Saccharomyces cerevisiae S288C: one gene and its partners. The main gene of each other region encodes a partner of the protein of the gene in region 3 in a complex. Each region holds a gene or a part of one and is shown on either strand. Other genes may lie near its edges. A codon is read from its position in the direction of its gene.

Region 1 (3,572 bases), on a different chromosome or scaffold from region 3:
GCACGACCACGAACATCTGGCAAATCCACATTCACAACCTTATCAAATCTACCTGGTCTAGTTAACGCCTTATCTAAAGCCTCAGGGAAATTTGTGGCACCAATAATAATAATTCCACTTGTTTGTGAGAAACCATCTAATTCGACCAATAACTGATTCAACGTTTGTTTGGCGTAAGCTTGGTCCTTTGGATTACGCTTACCACCGATGGCATCTAATTCATCAATAAAAATAATAGCTGGTGCACGAGAACGCGCTTGAGCAAACAAATCACGGATACGTTTAGCACCAACACCGACGTAAACTTCATCAAATTCAGAACCTGACATAAAGAAAAAATCTACACCAGCCTCTCCGGCAGTGGCCCTAGCCAACAAAGTTTTACCTGTACCAGGAGGTCCAGTCAACAGTACACCCTTTGGTAGTTTACCACCCAAGGACTCGTACTTAGTTGGATCTTTCAGGAAATCAACAATTTCTTCCAATTCCGCACGGGCCTCATCACAACCGCAGACATCATCAAATTTAACATTTGTCTTAGCTACATCAACTGATTTGTCGGCTACTTCTGACGACTTTAGTAGCGTTGTATTTTCTGTGATGTATTTAAAACCTTCAGAAAAAGAGTAGGTTAAGATACCGAAAACAAGCAGCCACTTTACCCATCTCGATACAACAGTAAAAGTTGATTCAGATACGACAACATGTAGTGGCTCTTTGCGAGATCCATAAAGCGGAGAATACATCGATGGAAAGTTACCATGATAACCTGACTGGTTTGATGAAGATGACGCCAATGATGGGTTAACTGCGCCAGCAGAGCTGGCTGTCAGTAGGTTTTGTCTAACGGCATCAGCCTCCGAGTGTCTGCCTATCCTCTGCAGGGCCTCCATGTACAGTTCCATGCATTCAGGCGATGACGCAATACCGGGGGTCTCAAACCTAGAGACCACGTATTGCGGGTAGTTTGATTGTAAGAGAAGTTTGTAAAAGGCTGCTTGTGCATCAGGACTCGTTAAGTCTTTATTGGCCTCTTGTTCTCTAGTTGCTAGCATAGCATGTGACACAGCTACGTTCGCTTGTTTGGTTTTATCATTAGTGTTCGATGGAGGTGGTGGTTGCGAATTGTCGATTGAAGATATCGTGGATTTATTGGATGCCTTTCCAGAGCTATCAGCTTCCTTCTTAGGAGGCATTTCACCGCTATTCTTTTCAGAATAAAAACGGTAGAACTTCTTTGATCTTAAGGCCCATTTTTTTTGAACTAACAAAGAAGCACCGATTTGAGGTAGCCTGGGAGCAAATATGCGTAAAACATTTGTCGTGACCGTGGGCGACACAAGTATTTTTGAAACGTTCATCTATCACGTCTCTGTTTTCGTTCTATCCACAATGTATTATAATTAAAAATTGCTTCAATAAAATCCTGTTTATCCTTTAAGCTGTGCTTGCTTTTTACTTATCAAAAACGCAAGGTAGAGATTTAACTCACTTCACCAACTCCGATATATTGCCTTTTCACTACCGCTACAGCGTACAGGAGCTACCACTCCTCGAAGAAAGAGGTACCATGTGATTCGAGATTACTAACCAACCGATGCTGATAGAAAAAGGTGGCGAAGATTGGGGGCCGTTCCTCCGGCGATCGCCACATATCGCATTTCACGAAAGATGAAAATAAAGATGCATCCGAAATCCCGACCAGAAACGTAAAAGGGTATATTGCAAAACAGTCGTTAAAAGCATATAGCATTTTGCATTAGCATCTGTGAGGCCTCGTCACTGGATTTACCCTATTGAAGAACGTATAATGGTTGATTTGGAGCAGGAATTTGCGCTCGGTGGGCGGTGTCTGGCATTCCATGGTCCTCTTATGTATGAAGCAAAGATCTTGAAAATATGGGATCCATCTTCGAAAATGTATACCAGCATTCCTAATGACAAGCCAGGTGGTAGTTCACAAGCAACTAAGGAAATAAAGCCACAAAAGCTGGGAGAAGATGAAAGCATTCCAGAAGAGATCATTAATGGGAAGTGTTTTTTCATACATTACCAAGGCTGGAAGTCGAGTTGGGATGAGTGGGTTGGATATGATAGGATACGGGCCTACAATGAAGAGAATATTGCCATGAAAAAAAGACTGGCGAACGAGGCGAAAGAAGCTAAGAAATCGTTACTGGAACAGCAGAAAAAAAAGAAGCTCTCCACTAGTCTGGGAGGGCCTAGTAATGGTGGAAAAAGAAAGGGAGACAGCCGCTCGAATGCTAGTATAAGTAAGAGCACTTCACAGAGTTTTTTAACATCTTCAGTGAGCGGCAGGAAAAGCGGAAGAAGTTCCGCTAATTCCCTCCATCCTGGCAGCTCTTTGCGCTCGTCATCCGACCAAAATGGGAATGATGACCGCAGAAGATCTTCTTCGCTATCGCCAAATATGCTACATCATATTGCCGGCTATCCAACCCCCAAGATTTCCCTTCAAATTCCCATAAAATTGAAGAGCGTGTTAGTCGACGATTGGGAATACGTAACGAAGGACAAAAAAATTTGCAGACTACCCGCTGATGTGACGGTAGAGATGGTACTGAATAAATACGAACATGAAGTGAGTCAAGAATTGGAATCGCCAGGGTCCCAGTCACAGTTGAGCGAATACTGTGCCGGTCTCAAGTTGTATTTTGACAAGTGCCTGGGTAATATGCTTTTATATAGGTTGGAACGGCTGCAATATGACGAACTTCTGAAAAAATCATCGAAGGATCAAAAGCCACTAGTACCAATTAGAATTTATGGGGCTATCCATCTGTTAAGGTTGATAAGTGTTTTACCAGAGCTGATCTCGTCTACTACAATGGATCTACAAAGCTGTCAGCTTTTAATCAAACAAACCGAAGACTTCTTGGTTTGGTTGTTGATGCATGTGGACGAATACTTCAATGACAAGGATCCAAATAGAAGTGACGATGCTCTGTATGTAAATACGTCTAGCCAATACGAAGGAGTGGCTTTAGGTATGTGAGACGTTTATATTCTAGCTTGGGATTATTTCTAGTATTTAGTTCTTCCGTATTTATGCAATAACTCTTCACAGAATATCTCGTGTAAGAATATGGACACTGTTCGTGGCACTTTACGAAATTCAAGTTTATTCTCTTTGCAAGGTTCTTAGGGTAATGGCAGCTCTGAAAGGGGCTTGTCGAGTTAAAACATCATTAATGATTATATTTTATTTTTGTTATTTTTCTGACGTATCCATCGTTTCGCATCTAGTATGAGCTTACTAAGAGCTTCGTATATAATGTACTATCATCTTCACTTACTCGTTTGCACACTACCAAGTTCTGTCCAGGGCTCCTTGTTTTATATTTTTAGTGTAATTGCATGGTCTATGCAACATGATTAAAGCAGCATCACACGCGCCATTATATAATCTAAAATAGTCCGTTGTCGTGCGCATTCTTCTGTGGCGCGTCTTATATGAGAAAAGGGTCTTTCGAAGTCATTAACCCTCTGACGCAGCAAAAAACAACTTTATGCAGGGTTTACTTCATACAGAAAGACACTTGCTTGTTGTC
Region 2 (6,736 bases), on a different chromosome or scaffold from region 3:
ATTTCAAAATATGAGGCTAACTCCTCATTGGAAGACCACATCCTTTCACTTCCCTGGCCACCAGATGGAGGTAAAACAAACACCGTCTTCAATCATGGCAGCTCAACAATAGAGATGCGTAATGAAAGTGGCGAACAGCTAATAAGGACCAGACTTCCTCAAAATGGCAGACATGCTTCTCGTGAGAAGTGGTACAACGACTGGGGTGAATCACTAGACGATTTTGGAGTGGATGTTGATATGGAATAGAATACTCATTCATGGGAATATCAAGTATATGTATGTATAAACTGTCCCTTATAAATAGTGTCCTTTCGATTACATACTATGCTAATGACGTGTAAAAAGATTCATGCACCAGTGTATGAGTACACAAATATAACCACTGCATGTTATCACTTCTTCCTTTATGGAAAGATCGATGTGTCTTAAAAAGCTTCAAAAACACTTAGAATTTTAAAATTACAATGTTATATCGTTGACATTAATTAAAGGTACACATCAGAAGAAAGACCCTGTCGTACTAAAGATTTTTGTTCTAAATCTAGTTAAAACTACTTATTGAATCTTAGCCCCCTTGTCTGAAGATTCAGTATTCCCAGTCGTTTCTATATTATCATCTTGTGGTACAGTAGTAATGGATGCAGGCAGTACACTTGCAGTAGAGCTGTCCAAATTATCCGACTGCTCCTGTTTCGTAATTTTACCTTTTTCGGTTTCACTCTCTATTCCCTGGTTTCCAGCACTCGTCTTTGCTATGCTGTCTTTTAGGTTCTCCCATTTTTTTTGCATACTTAATTTTTGAGCCTCATCTAAATTATTTCTCAAACCAACTGCACAGTCTAGAAATTTTGATATCAACTCCTTCTTCTGAGAAACCATTCCTTTTTGAGTATTATCATTAGCAATAGTAGGATATTTGTTAGTAGCCTTACGGGTAAAAACATCGTAAGACCCGTTTTCAATATGCAGTTGGTAGGTTATAGGCTGGATCTTAATTTTCAATGTCGATACAGAGATGCCTTCGGGGGAAAACTCCTCATCTACCTCTGTTCCATCAATATCTTGTCCAAATTCGATGAGCCTTTCCAAAAATGGTATCTTCAGTTTCTCGTGCGGAATGCCTTCTGTTGGATGTGGCAGAGCATACGATGTTACATAATATTTCCATTTATCTTCGTCTGCCTTTGGTTCCTTTAGTGTCAAATCATCAAGTGCAATATATTGAATGGAAACATGCAGAGTTCTTTTATCAAACTCTATTCTAAACATATTTTCTGTGTTGGACATATGTGAGCGCACCTGCAAGCGATAGATAATTTGGTCCTTCGCACTCGTGGTGGAGGCATTTCTATCTTTAACGAACAAAGCCATTATTTCCGCAGTTTTAGCGTCAGTCATCAAGGTATGAGCATGCTTTACCAACGATTGGGTGACTTTATCAATTGTATAGAGTTTAAACGCTTTGTTATTGTAAGCTTGCCGCAAACTCTCTTCAAACCACTGATGTTCAAGATCCCCATTAATCAACCTTCTACTCAGTCTTAAAACCTGTTTGTACGCGTCTTCACCAACAAAATCTAGTCCCATTTCGGAAAGTTGACTCGATAATAAATCTAGATCTTTGGCAAAAGTAACTGTCGACCTTGTGTTGATTTCCTTTGTGACCCTTTCATTCATTTGCTTAATTTCCAAAAGCCGCTCATAAATCGTTGTCCAATGACGGAAAAATATGTAAATATTCGTATTAGCGAATAGATTAAAAATACTGCGATTTTGGATAATACCCTGAGAGTTTGCTTCCTCCACTAAATTCCCAGTTAGCCACGGATTTTTAGCTTCTTCATCGATGAGCTCTTCCTCCTCAATGGTATTAGGTTCTTCTTCGGGTGGTTCAGAGAGCTGGGGAACTTTGCCATCTTCATCATTAGAACGCTTTAGCTTTTGATATCTGCTCCTGTGTAAAATATCAAGTAAACTCATTTCTTGTTGATAGGGCCTCTTCCTTGATGCAATAGAACTGCCATCGTCAGATCCGCTAGATTCTGACACGTTTTGCTTATGGGAGTACAACGATTCTTCGATTTTTTCGAAAGAAATAGAAAAAAACAAAGAGATGAAGTATTTTAGTAAATCTTTCAATCTTTCTTTATCGGGATTAGAATAGGCTGTGGTATGGGTTATAAAAGTGTCAGCCAAACACAAGATATCATAGAAAATGTTTTTATCAGGGAAATCAAAATCTAACTGGCTCTTTGGTTTAGGAGTTAACCAGTGAATTTTTTTGTTTGTTTGATCAACTTTGATGCTGCTAATCTCTGATATCAACTGCTTTGTAGTTAATAATTTCTTGTCAGCCTGTTTAAATGTTAAGCCTAAATGATCTAATGACTTGAAAAAAACCTTCTGTTCTAACTCCCTCCAAACTTTATTCCATTCACGTTGAGCTCTTCTCCATTCTTCGTCTTTTTGCTTTAACCTTTTCAGAACGACTGGGGCTGTCACTGCAGGGTGCTCATGCAAAGCATCAATAATCTCGAACCCCCTTTCCTTATCATAAACTTTCCTTATCACTTTTTTATAAATAGTCATTGAAGTATGGCCAAGACCTGGAGGCAGTTTAAAATTGGCTTTTTCATTCTCAGTCATGTTCTCGATCTTATTTACAATTGTTTCCAAACATTGAATAGTTCTTAAATTTGATTCAATGTAAAAATCATACTCATGTCTTTCCTCTTCGATCTTGAATAGTGTTTCCTCATACTGGTTTTTACGATGAGCAATAAATCCCGAATCTTCGGAAGCCCATACAGGATGTCCAACCCATTCATCGTTCAAGACTTCCCAACACATATCATCCCTACCTGAGCATGGCATGAAAGTGTCACTTTTTGGTAGCCTCTTGTAACTTGGGCCAAATGCCTCACATAAATCTAAATCCAATCTATGTTTTTCATGAACAATATTCTCGATACATTTGGTTTTTTCTTGGTAGCCAACAAAGTTTTTGAACCACGTAAATAGTTCTTTATTGGAACCCAAGTAGAAATCTACCTTTTCCACTAAATCGTCAAGATCAAGTATATCTTGAGAGTACAAATTTAAAATTTTCAAAAACTCAGTGTATAAATGTTTATTGCCGATATACCTCTTGGCCTTTTCGAAGAAAGTGACTTCCTCATTAAGCGATATATTGTTTTCGATGGGCTCAGTGGGTTCAGGGACCACAGGCACAATGCTAGGATCTAAATCAATTTCCGGTCTAACAGGGATATCACCATACTGCGTATTTGCTATAGGACTAATACTTTGCGGGTGCTGCTGCTGATGTTGTATACTAGAAGGAGCGTACTGTTCAGTGAGAGACGTTCTTAGATCTGATAGAGGTGGATTTTCATTCGCTATCCCTTGATGTACCATATTTGGCCCGTGTTGAACGATCGATGGTAAGGGCATGAAGTGGGGTGGTTGCATGTGCTGTTGATCCTGATAGGCTTCATGTACGGTCGAACCGTTTGTTGGAGGCGAGAAGCTTCCTATAGGAGGCAAGTTTTGCTGTGGAATACCTCGGTTAGAAGGATGGCCGTAATAGCCCGAAGCTGGATACAAGAATTGCTGTTGCTGCTTCTGTTGTTCCACCTGTGCCTGTGCCTGAGCCTGAGCTTGTGCCTGTGCATGCATTTGGGCCTCATGTTGTTGTTGAGCATGTTGCTGAGCATGTTGCACCTGCTGATTGGCAGAAGCTGAAGAGTCCGGCAAGAATTTCTTGAAATCTTCTAGTAAATCAGGAGCATTTTGGAAAAGATGCGTCACTTGTGCGTAGACTTCGTTTATTGGCTTTTGCTCTCGCTGATAAGTTTGTAGTATTTCCAGAAAATGCTTGTAAATATCAGGTTGGTCGGCAAATCTAGTTTTAATTTTATTAACGTAGCTTATGGCTTGACTAAATTCGACATCAACGTTTTTCTTAGCATCTTCTTGAGGCACTAAAGATTGACTTTGTGGGATTTGGCGATGTGCAGGCATTTCAGGTTGTTGAATTGAAGGTAAACCAGAAGAAGTAGCTAAAAGAGGCAAAGATTGTTGTTGGTCTTGGTTTTGTTCCGATTGATACACACTCGAAGGCACCATTGGCACATTGGAGGGCTGTTGAACACCATTTCCATCGCTTTCTGGAAAAGAACCAAGTTCCTGTGCATCCGTTGTACCTCTACCAGATGGACTGATGTTATTGTTTACTGTCGTAGTACCCATTGGTGTAGTAACTCTAATGGGGTCGTCCGGATTAGAGGAGCATTCGATTCTATAGCCTTGGGGTAGAAAAGTATTGAACCCTTGAATCAAAATTGGATAACCTCTGAACAAAGTGGATACTCTTTCAATAACGCCCGGTGTGTCTATTGCCTGAGATTTAAAGTCCTTCATAATATCTAAAAATAAATTATAGATATCCGGACGCGAACTAAATTGAAATTTGACCTGTTCGAGGTAAGATAGGGCATCCTTCACGTTTAGAGGTCTGTAGTCAGCATCTTCATCGTGAGAATTTTCGTTGTTATTATTGTCATCGTTAGCATCTGCATGGTTGCTGCTAGGGTCAGGGGCATCAGCAGGCTGCACACCAGCGGGAACTTCCTTGCAATCTTGAGGCCGTTGCGTCGCCTTTTCTTCTTCCTGAAGACCATTATAACTTTTTGGTTCCTCTGTATGAACAGGAGCTTTTATCGGTAATGGATTGTCAAATCTCGACAAAGAAAAACTGGCGGCTCCCACTGTGGGGAGGGGAGCTGGACCAGCATTCATAAGCGAAGCGTTTATAGAGGGAGAAGAGGACGAAGATTTAGGGCGAGGGTGATACTCGTGGGGCTGTTTCAATGCTGAATCAGTTGCAATTGAGGGCATAGCATTTGAATGTGGGGGAGGATAACCTAATATGTGAGCAGCATGAGAAGTTAGAGCCTGTTGGCCATTGGAATCTCTTCTATCTTCCTCCTTAGTACTCAAGGCAGATAGCGAGGGTAAAGTAATCCGTTGCTGCTGTTGAACAAAACCGGGCTTATTTCCCTGGAGGGACGGTTCTTTTTCGTTTCTTTCGTTGGAACCCGTAGCGTCATTTGAAGTAGCCACATCGTTTGATTGCGAATTCGAATTATGCCAAACCTGTGACATTTTTGTACAATGTATAACTTGTTTCTTAGATATTTTGTCCTTTTCCAAATAACCTCAAACGAACACAACAAAAGGGTAAAGAGACTATACTGAAAGCGGTCAATAGCGTAGCCTGTTGTGGAGGGAGGGAAGTAACAAAGAATATGTGGTACGTGAATGAGCTGATTAGTTAGGTACGGTGCCTCGAATATTAGCAATGCTGGTGCGAAAAAGGGAAGACAAATGTAATAGGGAAGGGGAGTAACCGTTGTTTTGCAAATCACGTTTGCTGAAGAACTGCAAAATGAAGGCGACTTTTTTGCGAATGGAAAAAAATCACTAGAAAATCCGATATCATTACCCGTACTGGTTTATTCTACGTTACACGGGTAACCCCGCAGTGTGTGCCACACTCTGGGCAGCGCGTAACAACAGTAGTTACAAGACTGGAGTAGAAGATAGATTTTTTAAATTATAAACAGAATTTACAGACTACTGGAGAGGGATCACGGTAAGCCTCGTCGGTAAGCCTCGTCGGTAAGCCTCGTCGGTAGATCCGTGTCATGTCATGGATAATGCTGCTATCCGAGTTCAAAAAACTTGCAAGCTCAATATTATCATTACCCGGACTTAATAAAGTGGAAGTGTCCGCGAAAATTCTAGGTTCACTGCTTTGGCACACACAAGAGGTCCGTTAAAAGAAGAGCGAGAGAACTGAGCCGTGCAGCCTAAATAGATAGCTACGTAGCCACCAAACCAGATACATTTGGACACAACTGCATCATGAATGCTCCAGACAGATTCGAACTGTTCCTTCTGGGTGAAGGGGAATCCAAGCTAAAGATTGACCCCGACACCAAAGCCCCCAACGCAGTAGTGATAACGTTTGAGAAGGAGGACCACACGTTGGGAAACCTGATTCGTGCAGAACTTCTGAACGACAGAAAAGTGCTGTTTGCCGCTTACAAGGTTGAGCATCCCTTCTTCGCTCGTTTCAAGCTGAGAATACAGACCACCGAGGGCTACGACCCGAAGGATGCCTTGAAAAACGCCTGTAACAGCATCATTAACAAGCTTGGCGCCCTGAAGACAAATTTCGAAACCGAGTGGAACCTGCAAACTCTAGCCGCCGACGACGCATTTTGATATATAGGAGTTTAATACTATAGCCATAAAATCTAAACAGAATGGAAACGGACATACACATAATATACGCTCATATATATTTATACATAACTTCAATGTCTTGAACACGTAAATTTTAGTGTGAGAAACCTTTTTCACTCCGGGTAATACCTGCTGTAGTCTTCAAAAAAAAAAAAAAAAAAGAAAAAAAACCAGCCATGGAAAGCTCTTTATTTTTTTACTTTACGGCTTTTTTCCCTTTTCTTATATGATCGATGCACGTAAAGAACAACTGTATTTTTTTGTTTCAACACTAACACGAGCGCAATATTCTTTTTTGTTTTCTCTGTTACTCTAATTACCTGAGTCCTATTCTTATAGTATTAAAACAGCAAATAAAAAAAATCTAAAGGGAGGGCAGAGCTCGAAACTTGAAACGCGTAAAAATGACTATTGCTGATGC
Region 3 (3,771 bases):
GGGAATCACCCTAAATGCCTCTGTGTTACTTCATTCCACTACAAACAATGTGGGCAAGGCTACAATGGTGAGATTTGCTTCAAAATATCTTGGTATACATCTACTGGAGATAGATTGCCTTTCGCTCACTTCAAATTCAAGACAACTGGATTCAACATCTAAGATTATTGGTTACATTAGGGCTAAATGTGAAAATGTCCTACCGTACGCATCACCTGCTGTGATTTTTTTGGCTCATTTGGATTCAATTTTGCTTGACGTAAACGCTAATCAAGATCCAGAGGCAATCAAATTACAAAAATCTATAAACTTCGAAATGTCTAAACTTCTGGACGATTTTACGTTTAAATTCCCAGGAACTACATTTGTTGGCTCCGTAAATAACATAGATAACGTGCCTTCCAGCTTTAGATCACATATGAGATTTGAGATTCTCGTACCCGTTCCGTCTGAAGCACAGAGACTGCGTATCTTTCAGTGGTACTTATCTTCACATGAACTAAACAGAGATGTTCAACAAAAGGTTCCAGTATCTTACATGGATAATATTTCATTTTCATCACTCTCTTCATATTCTGCTGGTTTAACTCCTTTAGACATCAAATCAATTGTGGAAACGGCACGAATGACGGCTACTGCGCGTTTTTACCAAGAATCAAAGAAGTGTGGATGGCTTCCGCAATCAATTTTGATCACTCAGGAGGATTTATCAAAAGCTACTTCGAAAGCTAGGAACGAATTCTCGGTTTCGATTGGTGCCCCACAAATCCCTAACGTAACTTGGGATGATATAGGTGGTATTGATTTTGTTAAAGGTGAAATATTGGACACAATAGACATGCCGCTAAAACATCCTGAATTATTTACCTCAGGTATGAAAAAGAGAAGCGGTATTCTTTTTTATGGTCCACCGGGTACAGGTAAAACTCTAATGGCTAAGGCCATTGCAACAAATTTTTCTTTAAATTTTTTTAGTGTTAAAGGCCCTGAACTGTTGAATATGTACATTGGTGAGAGTGAAGCTAATGTGCGCAGAGTGTTTCAAAAGGCGAGAGAGGCTAAACCTTGTGTCATATTTTTCGATGAAATCGATTCAGTAGCACCCAAACGTGGTAATCAAGGTGATTCGGGTGGTGTTATGGATCGTATCGTTTCACAGTTACTAGCAGAGTTAGATGGTATGAGTACCGACGCTGACGGTGTATTTGTTATCGGAGCAACAAACAGACCAGACTTATTGGACGAAGCACTACTAAGACCAGGACGATTCGATAAATTGTTATATTTAGGCATTCCGGATACGGATACCAAACAATTGAATATTTTAGAGGCTCTGACTCGCAAATTCGTGCTCGACAACGACGTAAAGCTTATTGAGTTGGCAAAGCTATGTCCATTTAATTACACCGGGGCAGATTTTTATGCTCTCTGCTCAGATGCAATGCTTAACGCCATGTCAAGAATTGCACGCATGGTAGAAAAAAAAGTTTCTCAGCATAACGAATTGACGGGAGAGAATATTTCTACACGTCGCTGGTTTGATAAGATTGCGACAAAAGAGGATACTAAGGTTGTCGTAAAAATGGAAGACTTCTTGAAAGCACAAGAGCAGCTCACCCCAAGTGTGTCGCGGGCTGAACTGAATCATTATGAAGCGGTGAGAGCTAATTTTGAAGGTGCTTAAGTAATATCAACTCAGAGCGTATAGGTAAATTTGTAAATATATGTCCCATATTTTGCCTTGAAATTTATCTTTTTATTTACTTACCCTCCCCGGCTCATAGTATCTATCGAAAGGGAAAAACAGAAAAGATACTAGTAGTTGATTATACATAATAAAAATTTGAAGTAATAACCATAAAGGTTCATAAAACAATTGCGCCATACAAAACATTCGTGGCTACAACTCGATATCCGTGCAGATGGTATATGAAGCAACACCTTTTGATCCGATCACGGTCAAGCCAAGCGATAAAAGACGCGTTGCATATTTTTACGATGCAGACGTTGGGAACTATGCATATGGAGCAGGTCACCCGATGAAGCCGCATAGAATAAGAATGGCACATTCCCTTATTATGAATTATGGCTTGTACAAGAAGATGGAAATTTACAGAGCTAAGCCGGCAACGAAACAAGAAATGTGTCAGTTCCATACTGATGAATACATTGATTTTTTATCGAGGGTTACTCCAGATAATTTAGAAATGTTTAAAAGAGAAAGTGTCAAGTTTAATGTCGGAGATGATTGTCCTGTCTTTGATGGGCTCTATGAGTACTGTAGCATATCTGGTGGTGGCTCTATGGAAGGAGCTGCTCGTCTGAATAGAGGCAAATGTGATGTTGCTGTCAACTATGCGGGTGGTTTGCATCATGCAAAAAAATCGGAAGCTTCTGGGTTTTGTTATTTAAATGACATAGTACTGGGCATTATTGAGCTACTACGATACCACCCCAGAGTTCTGTATATTGATATTGATGTGCACCATGGTGATGGTGTAGAGGAAGCGTTTTATACAACGGATCGTGTCATGACATGTTCTTTCCACAAATATGGTGAGTTTTTCCCTGGCACAGGTGAACTGAGAGATATAGGGGTGGGTGCAGGAAAAAACTACGCGGTCAATGTGCCATTAAGAGACGGTATTGACGATGCTACGTATAGATCTGTGTTTGAACCTGTGATAAAAAAAATTATGGAATGGTATCAACCTTCTGCTGTCGTGTTACAGTGTGGTGGGGACTCCTTGTCCGGCGATCGTCTTGGTTGCTTTAATCTTTCCATGGAAGGCCATGCTAATTGTGTAAACTATGTGAAATCCTTTGGGATCCCAATGATGGTTGTTGGTGGAGGAGGCTATACTATGAGAAATGTTGCAAGGACATGGTGCTTTGAAACAGGTCTACTAAATAACGTTGTCTTGGATAAAGATTTACCGTACAATGAATATTACGAATATTACGGTCCAGATTATAAGTTAAGTGTTAGACCTTCGAATATGTTCAATGTAAATACTCCCGAATATCTTGACAAGGTAATGACCAATATATTTGCTAATTTGGAAAACACAAAGTATGCCCCTAGTGTTCAGTTGAATCACACACCTAGGGATGCCGAAGATTTGGGTGATGTTGAAGAAGATTCTGCCGAGGCTAAAGATACGAAGGGTGGTTCGCAATATGCGAGGGACCTACATGTTGAGCATGACAATGAATTCTATTGAAAAAAAGAGTTGGAAGTATATACGAATATAAATAATGTGAAACAAAAGAAGAAAAGTGAATAAAAGGCACTTAAGACGCTATCCAATTGTGTATGAGAAGTGCAAACTCAATTTTTTTGCAAAAGACTTTTCTCAAACCTTTAATTGATGCGTTCCGTTCATACATCAACCGCGTCCCATACGTTTCGAAGAAAATTGCCTATATGTGTTATTTACATACTAGAGATATTTTAATATTGAAACAGTTGTATTTCTATTGTAATTACTATCTAAACGTCTCGTCCCACCGCTGTTGATAAAGCGGTGCCAATATAATTTATAATCACGCCTGGGTAAATGACTTTTAATTTCTTAAATCATCGAAGTATGCGAAAACAAGAAGTCTTTATTCATAATAAAAAACAAATTCGGTTACTACGACTTTTATATGTCATTCAATATTTGGTAATAATTTTACAGTATTAACCCTATCCTCATCTGATTCACTCTCTTCTAATTGCATATATTTTCAAATTCGCTTTCAGCGCTGTACAAAACCAGTAAGCAG
Region 4 (3,124 bases), on a different chromosome or scaffold from region 3:
CCTGTGTTTTCCAAACTATACCTAATTTGCTCAGGATGTAAGTTAGGGGCTAGATTTTGCACTGTTTCCACCATCTGAGTAGTCACGGGGTGACCTCCATTGACTCTACCAGTCCTTCTCAAGGCATTCTGCGTGGAGCCCTGAGGACGTCCGTGTGCGTTTACACCTGTAGCGGATAAGCGTTGTGCTGAGGGATGCTGATTACTTTGGAAGAATTTTTTCAGAAATATAACTCCAAACACAAGAATCAAAGTGATAAGCAATCTCGAATCCTCCATGGCCAAAAGAAAAAAGTTTGCGCGATCGTAGATTGTAATGCTTTATGGCGCCTTTTATAAGAAATAGGTTGATGAGTTGTCTATTCAATGCATCAATGACAGGCCCACCTCAGTTATATTAGATCGTTTAAAATGGCGCGACAGCTACCCGCACCGTATACAAAAAGGCATTAAACTAAATGGAATACTAGCAAATAAACAAGTGTTACTGTCCATTTTAACAATTACCACCTTAAAAGTTTACATAACTTATACACAAAAGGGCTGCCTCATCGTTTGATCAACCCCGAAATTCCATCTTGAATTTCTTCTTCTGGTTTTTTACCTTGTATATAAATTGCGGTATGCAATCTGTCTCTTTAATGGAATGCTCATCGAAATGCCTTCTCACCACGTTGGCCAGGTCTCTCTTATGTATCCTTTTATCGTGCTGCCCCTGTGTGTTCCTCTTGTATGAATAAGTCTTCGCGCCCAATTTGGAACCCAATAAGTATCCCTGCAGCGTCAGGTTGTCCGGTACGTCCAATTGAAAGTGGTCTTTATACCTTCTCAGGAACGCATCCGTATACTCTTCGAAATCCATTGGGTGACTCTTGGGGCGCAGATCAGGGTGGTTGTCGGTGATATGTGTCTCTATGAGATTCTTAATGTACTGCTGTTGTGCAGCTGTGAGTCTTTGCTTCCCATTGGTTCTCCCGCTGGAGGTAGGCCCGTTATTGTTATTGCTGTTATTGCTGTTATTATTATTATTATTATTGTTATTATTGTTATTATTGCTGCCATTGTTGTTGTTACAGCTGCCATTGTTGTTACTTGCGTAACCACCACCCTGAGTGGGTCTGCCTCTCGATTCCGTTTCAGCGTTTGTATTAACTGGCCTAGCCATTACTACTCAGTATATACCTATCCTTCGATTTGCTAAACTATAAAGGAATTGCATTATCACAATAGATACACAACCGCTTTTATATAATTTCTAAGTTAAAATCTGAAAATTTCACAGTATATAAAAAAGAGCGCTTTTTCCCTTCCGGAACGGCGTTGCCTTGCTAAAACACATGCATAGCAAGAAATGGTATACAGCAAGCCTACTTAATATATCTCATTACAGTGCTATGCTGCCACCTCAAAAGCGTTTCACTTGATAAATTTCTGAAAGTTTTCGTATACACGCAAAGCGGCTTGTGAGGCATCCAGTGTCTCGTCCCATGCTCGTGCGATTTGTGCATTCAAATACTGCAGCTGCTCTGTAAGGGCCTTTTGGTATGACGGATCTGGATTGTCAATAGGATAGTCGGTTTCAGTAAGTATGCAAGTTGAGGGCAAGCTCCTGACCAGGGCATCTCCCTCTTCTGGGTCCTTAAAATTAATCCATTTGGATAGGCTCACAAAAATACGATCCGGGGGAAACTTCTTGAGCCATTGGCCCAGAAGCGTTTCCTTGGAGCCTGTGTACGAATGTAAACATATCTTGACAGAGTGATACGTCAAGAGCTCTTCATTGCAGATATCGTTTAGTTTCCCGTGGCACTTTACATCGTGTATAGAGATGGGCTTGCTTGTGTGCCTTGCCAGTCGGCAAAATCGCCTGAATACTGTTTCTTGATGCGATAGTTTGACCTTCACTGTCGTAAGCCTTGCCTTCTCGTTCTGCATGTAGAAACCATTTGCAGGAAGTCTGAAGAGCTTATCAAGACCGATTTCTCCAATCACACTAACCAAAGTGTCGTTAAACTCTCTTTTTATATACTCTTCAAGATCTAGAGGTTCGGGAAGCACCTGAACCAAACTGTCGAACTGTTCTTCATTCTTATACTCCAGTACATCTTGATAGTGAGAAACCTTGTCGCGCCGACTTCCCACATAAAATAAGTGGCTGTACCAAGGATGCACACCAAATCCCACGCATATATCGTTTTTACTTGTGCTTCTGCCAGCCAATTTTTTCAAATTGTTCCAGTCATATGGGTTTGATGACATAACGCAACGCAACGTACCCTGGGACCCTCCATCATCACCGCAGAATGTGTTGTCTGGGTCGGTTATAACATGACAGTGGGCATCAACAAGTTTATTCATCTACTTCCTCAATGAACAGCGTAGTGTAACACCTAACCTCGATAGAGTTGCAATTGCCAGTCTTCTAAAAGGGCCCTTTCTTCCCTACGTAATCAATTGTCCTCCTGGGCTTCGCGCGGTGCCCCTGGAATTAATTAATCCCCTTCAGCACGCAGCAACGGCAACTCCAGGGAGCATCAAGTGGACGAGCAAACATTCAATAGTATTAAGTCTAAGACATAAGTTTTAAGTACCGTTGCTATTCCGCTTCATCTTTTATCACAATAAAACAGTACAAACGTTATTGCAGGTCCTGGCTTTATAATTTATTGCTTCCTATTCAAAAAACCACAGACTAATAACCACGGGCAACCTCAATGACTATTATCGTCGCTTCTTTATTCTTACCATATACCCCTCAATTCGAGGCTGATGTCACCAACTCGGATACTGCTAAGCTGGTTGAATCAAGTATGATCAAGGTAGACTGCAACAACCAGGAATTGAGCAACAACAAGCAAGAAAGAAGCAGTTCTGTAACTTCGGCAAGCTCTCATTATATTGGCTTACCTCAGGAGGCGCAAATTAACGGTGAACCCTTACAAAGGGCCAATGTGGGCTCTCCTGCTACGGGAGTTAACTATCATAATGAGATGGAAATGCTTTCCTCAGAGCAATTCCTGGAAGAGCTGACTGCCAATGCCACTCATGCAGCAAACTCTGGTATTCCGCCAGCTAATAACCCAGTTTCTTCTGGCTCAACTGCCCAGCGGCCTTCAGTCGAGGAA

Evidence for each region.
Region 1: the proteins of RPD3 (region 3) and EAF3 are in contact, whole or in part, in a cryo-EM structure (PDB 7YI3), measured with the Saccharomyces cerevisiae proteins. Residues at the interface, in NP_014069.1 of Saccharomyces cerevisiae: Arg99 (codon at 2,217), Val102 (codon at 2,226), Lys103 (codon at 2,229), Ser155 (codon at 2,385), Glu156 (codon at 2,388); in NP_015348.1 of Saccharomyces cerevisiae: Leu304 (codon at 2,720), Asp307 (codon at 2,729), Ser392 (codon at 2,984), Gln393 (codon at 2,987), Gly396 (codon at 2,996), Val397 (codon at 2,999), Met401 (codon at 3,011).
Region 2: the proteins of RPD3 (region 3) and SIN3 are in contact, whole or in part, in a cryo-EM structure (PDB 8HXX), measured with the Saccharomyces cerevisiae proteins. Residues at the interface, in NP_014069.1 of Saccharomyces cerevisiae: Asp26 (codon at 1,998), Ala27 (codon at 2,001), Asp28 (codon at 2,004), Gly30 (codon at 2,010), Asn31 (codon at 2,013), Tyr32 (codon at 2,016), Ala33 (codon at 2,019), Ala36 (codon at 2,028), Gly37 (codon at 2,031), His38 (codon at 2,034), Lys41 (codon at 2,043), His43 (codon at 2,049), Arg46 (codon at 2,058), Arg65 (codon at 2,115), Gln72 (codon at 2,136), Cys75 (codon at 2,145), Gln76 (codon at 2,148), Phe77 (codon at 2,151), His78 (codon at 2,154), Thr79 (codon at 2,157), Asp80 (codon at 2,160), Glu81 (codon at 2,163), Asp92 (codon at 2,196), Asp114 (codon at 2,262), Gly115 (codon at 2,265), Glu118 (codon at 2,274), Lys153 (codon at 2,379), Lys154 (codon at 2,382), Glu156 (codon at 2,388), Val167 (codon at 2,421); in NP_014639.1 of Saccharomyces cerevisiae: Cys748 (codon at 2,928), Glu749 (codon at 2,925), Ala750 (codon at 2,922), Phe751 (codon at 2,919), Gly752 (codon at 2,916), Pro753 (codon at 2,913), Ser754 (codon at 2,910), Tyr755 (codon at 2,907), Thr763 (codon at 2,883), Met765 (codon at 2,877), Pro766 (codon at 2,874), Cys767 (codon at 2,871), Ser768 (codon at 2,868), Gly769 (codon at 2,865), Arg770 (codon at 2,862), Asp771 (codon at 2,859), Met773 (codon at 2,853), Cys774 (codon at 2,850), Val777 (codon at 2,841), Leu778 (codon at 2,838), Asn779 (codon at 2,835), Asp780 (codon at 2,832), Trp782 (codon at 2,826), Val783 (codon at 2,823), Gly784 (codon at 2,820), His785 (codon at 2,817), Pro786 (codon at 2,814), Ala789 (codon at 2,805), Phe795 (codon at 2,787), Ile796 (codon at 2,784).
Region 4: RPD3 (region 3) and SAP30 share a complex: the UniProt entries of both Saccharomyces cerevisiae proteins name them as parts of the RPD3C(L) complex.

What each region holds. Positions count from the first base shown.
Region 1 is NC_001148.4:608,270-611,841, reverse strand, and holds EAF3 (Eaf3p), read left to right. Parts: upstream 1-1,810; coding exon 1,811-3,016; downstream 3,017-3,572. Other genes in the region: i-AAA protease YME1, read right to left, coding at 1-1,361. UniProt on the Saccharomyces cerevisiae protein: Component of the NuA4 histone acetyltransferase complex which is involved in transcriptional activation of selected genes principally by acetylation of nucleosomal histone H4 and H2A. The NuA4 complex is also involved in DNA repair.
Region 2 is NC_001147.6:315,371-322,106, reverse strand, and holds SIN3 (transcriptional regulator SIN3), read right to left. Parts: upstream 5,170-6,736; coding exon 559-5,169; downstream 1-558. Other genes in the region: palmitoyltransferase PFA4, read left to right, coding at 1-249; DNA-directed RNA polymerase II core subunit RPB11, read left to right, coding at 5,932-6,294; TOP1 (DNA topoisomerase 1), read left to right, coding at 6,720-6,736. UniProt on the Saccharomyces cerevisiae protein: Catalytic component of the RPD3 histone deacetylase complexes RPD3C(L) and RPD3C(S) responsible for the deacetylation of lysine residues on the N-terminal part of the core histones (H2A, H2B, H3 and H4).
Region 3 is NC_001146.8:17,454-21,224, reverse strand, and holds RPD3 (histone deacetylase RPD3), read left to right. Parts: upstream 1-1,922; coding exon 1,923-3,224; downstream 3,225-3,771. Other genes in the region: PEX6 (AAA family ATPase peroxin 6), read left to right, coding at 1-1,684. UniProt on the Saccharomyces cerevisiae protein: Catalytic component of the RPD3 histone deacetylase (HDAC) complexes RPD3C(L) and RPD3C(S) responsible for the deacetylation of lysine residues on the N-terminal part of the core histones (H2A, H2B, H3 and H4).
Region 4 is NC_001145.3:792,959-796,082, reverse strand, and holds SAP30 (Sap30p), read right to left. Parts: upstream 1,165-3,124; coding exon 559-1,164; downstream 1-558. Other genes in the region: CUE1 (Cue1p), read right to left, coding at 1-278; YMR262W (putative endodeoxyribonuclease), read right to left, coding at 1,416-2,357; TPS3 (trehalose 6-phosphate synthase/phosphatase complex subunit), read left to right, coding at 2,714-3,124. UniProt on the Saccharomyces cerevisiae protein: Component of the RPD3C(L) histone deacetylase complex (HDAC) responsible for the deacetylation of lysine residues on the N-terminal part of the core histones (H2A, H2B, H3 and H4).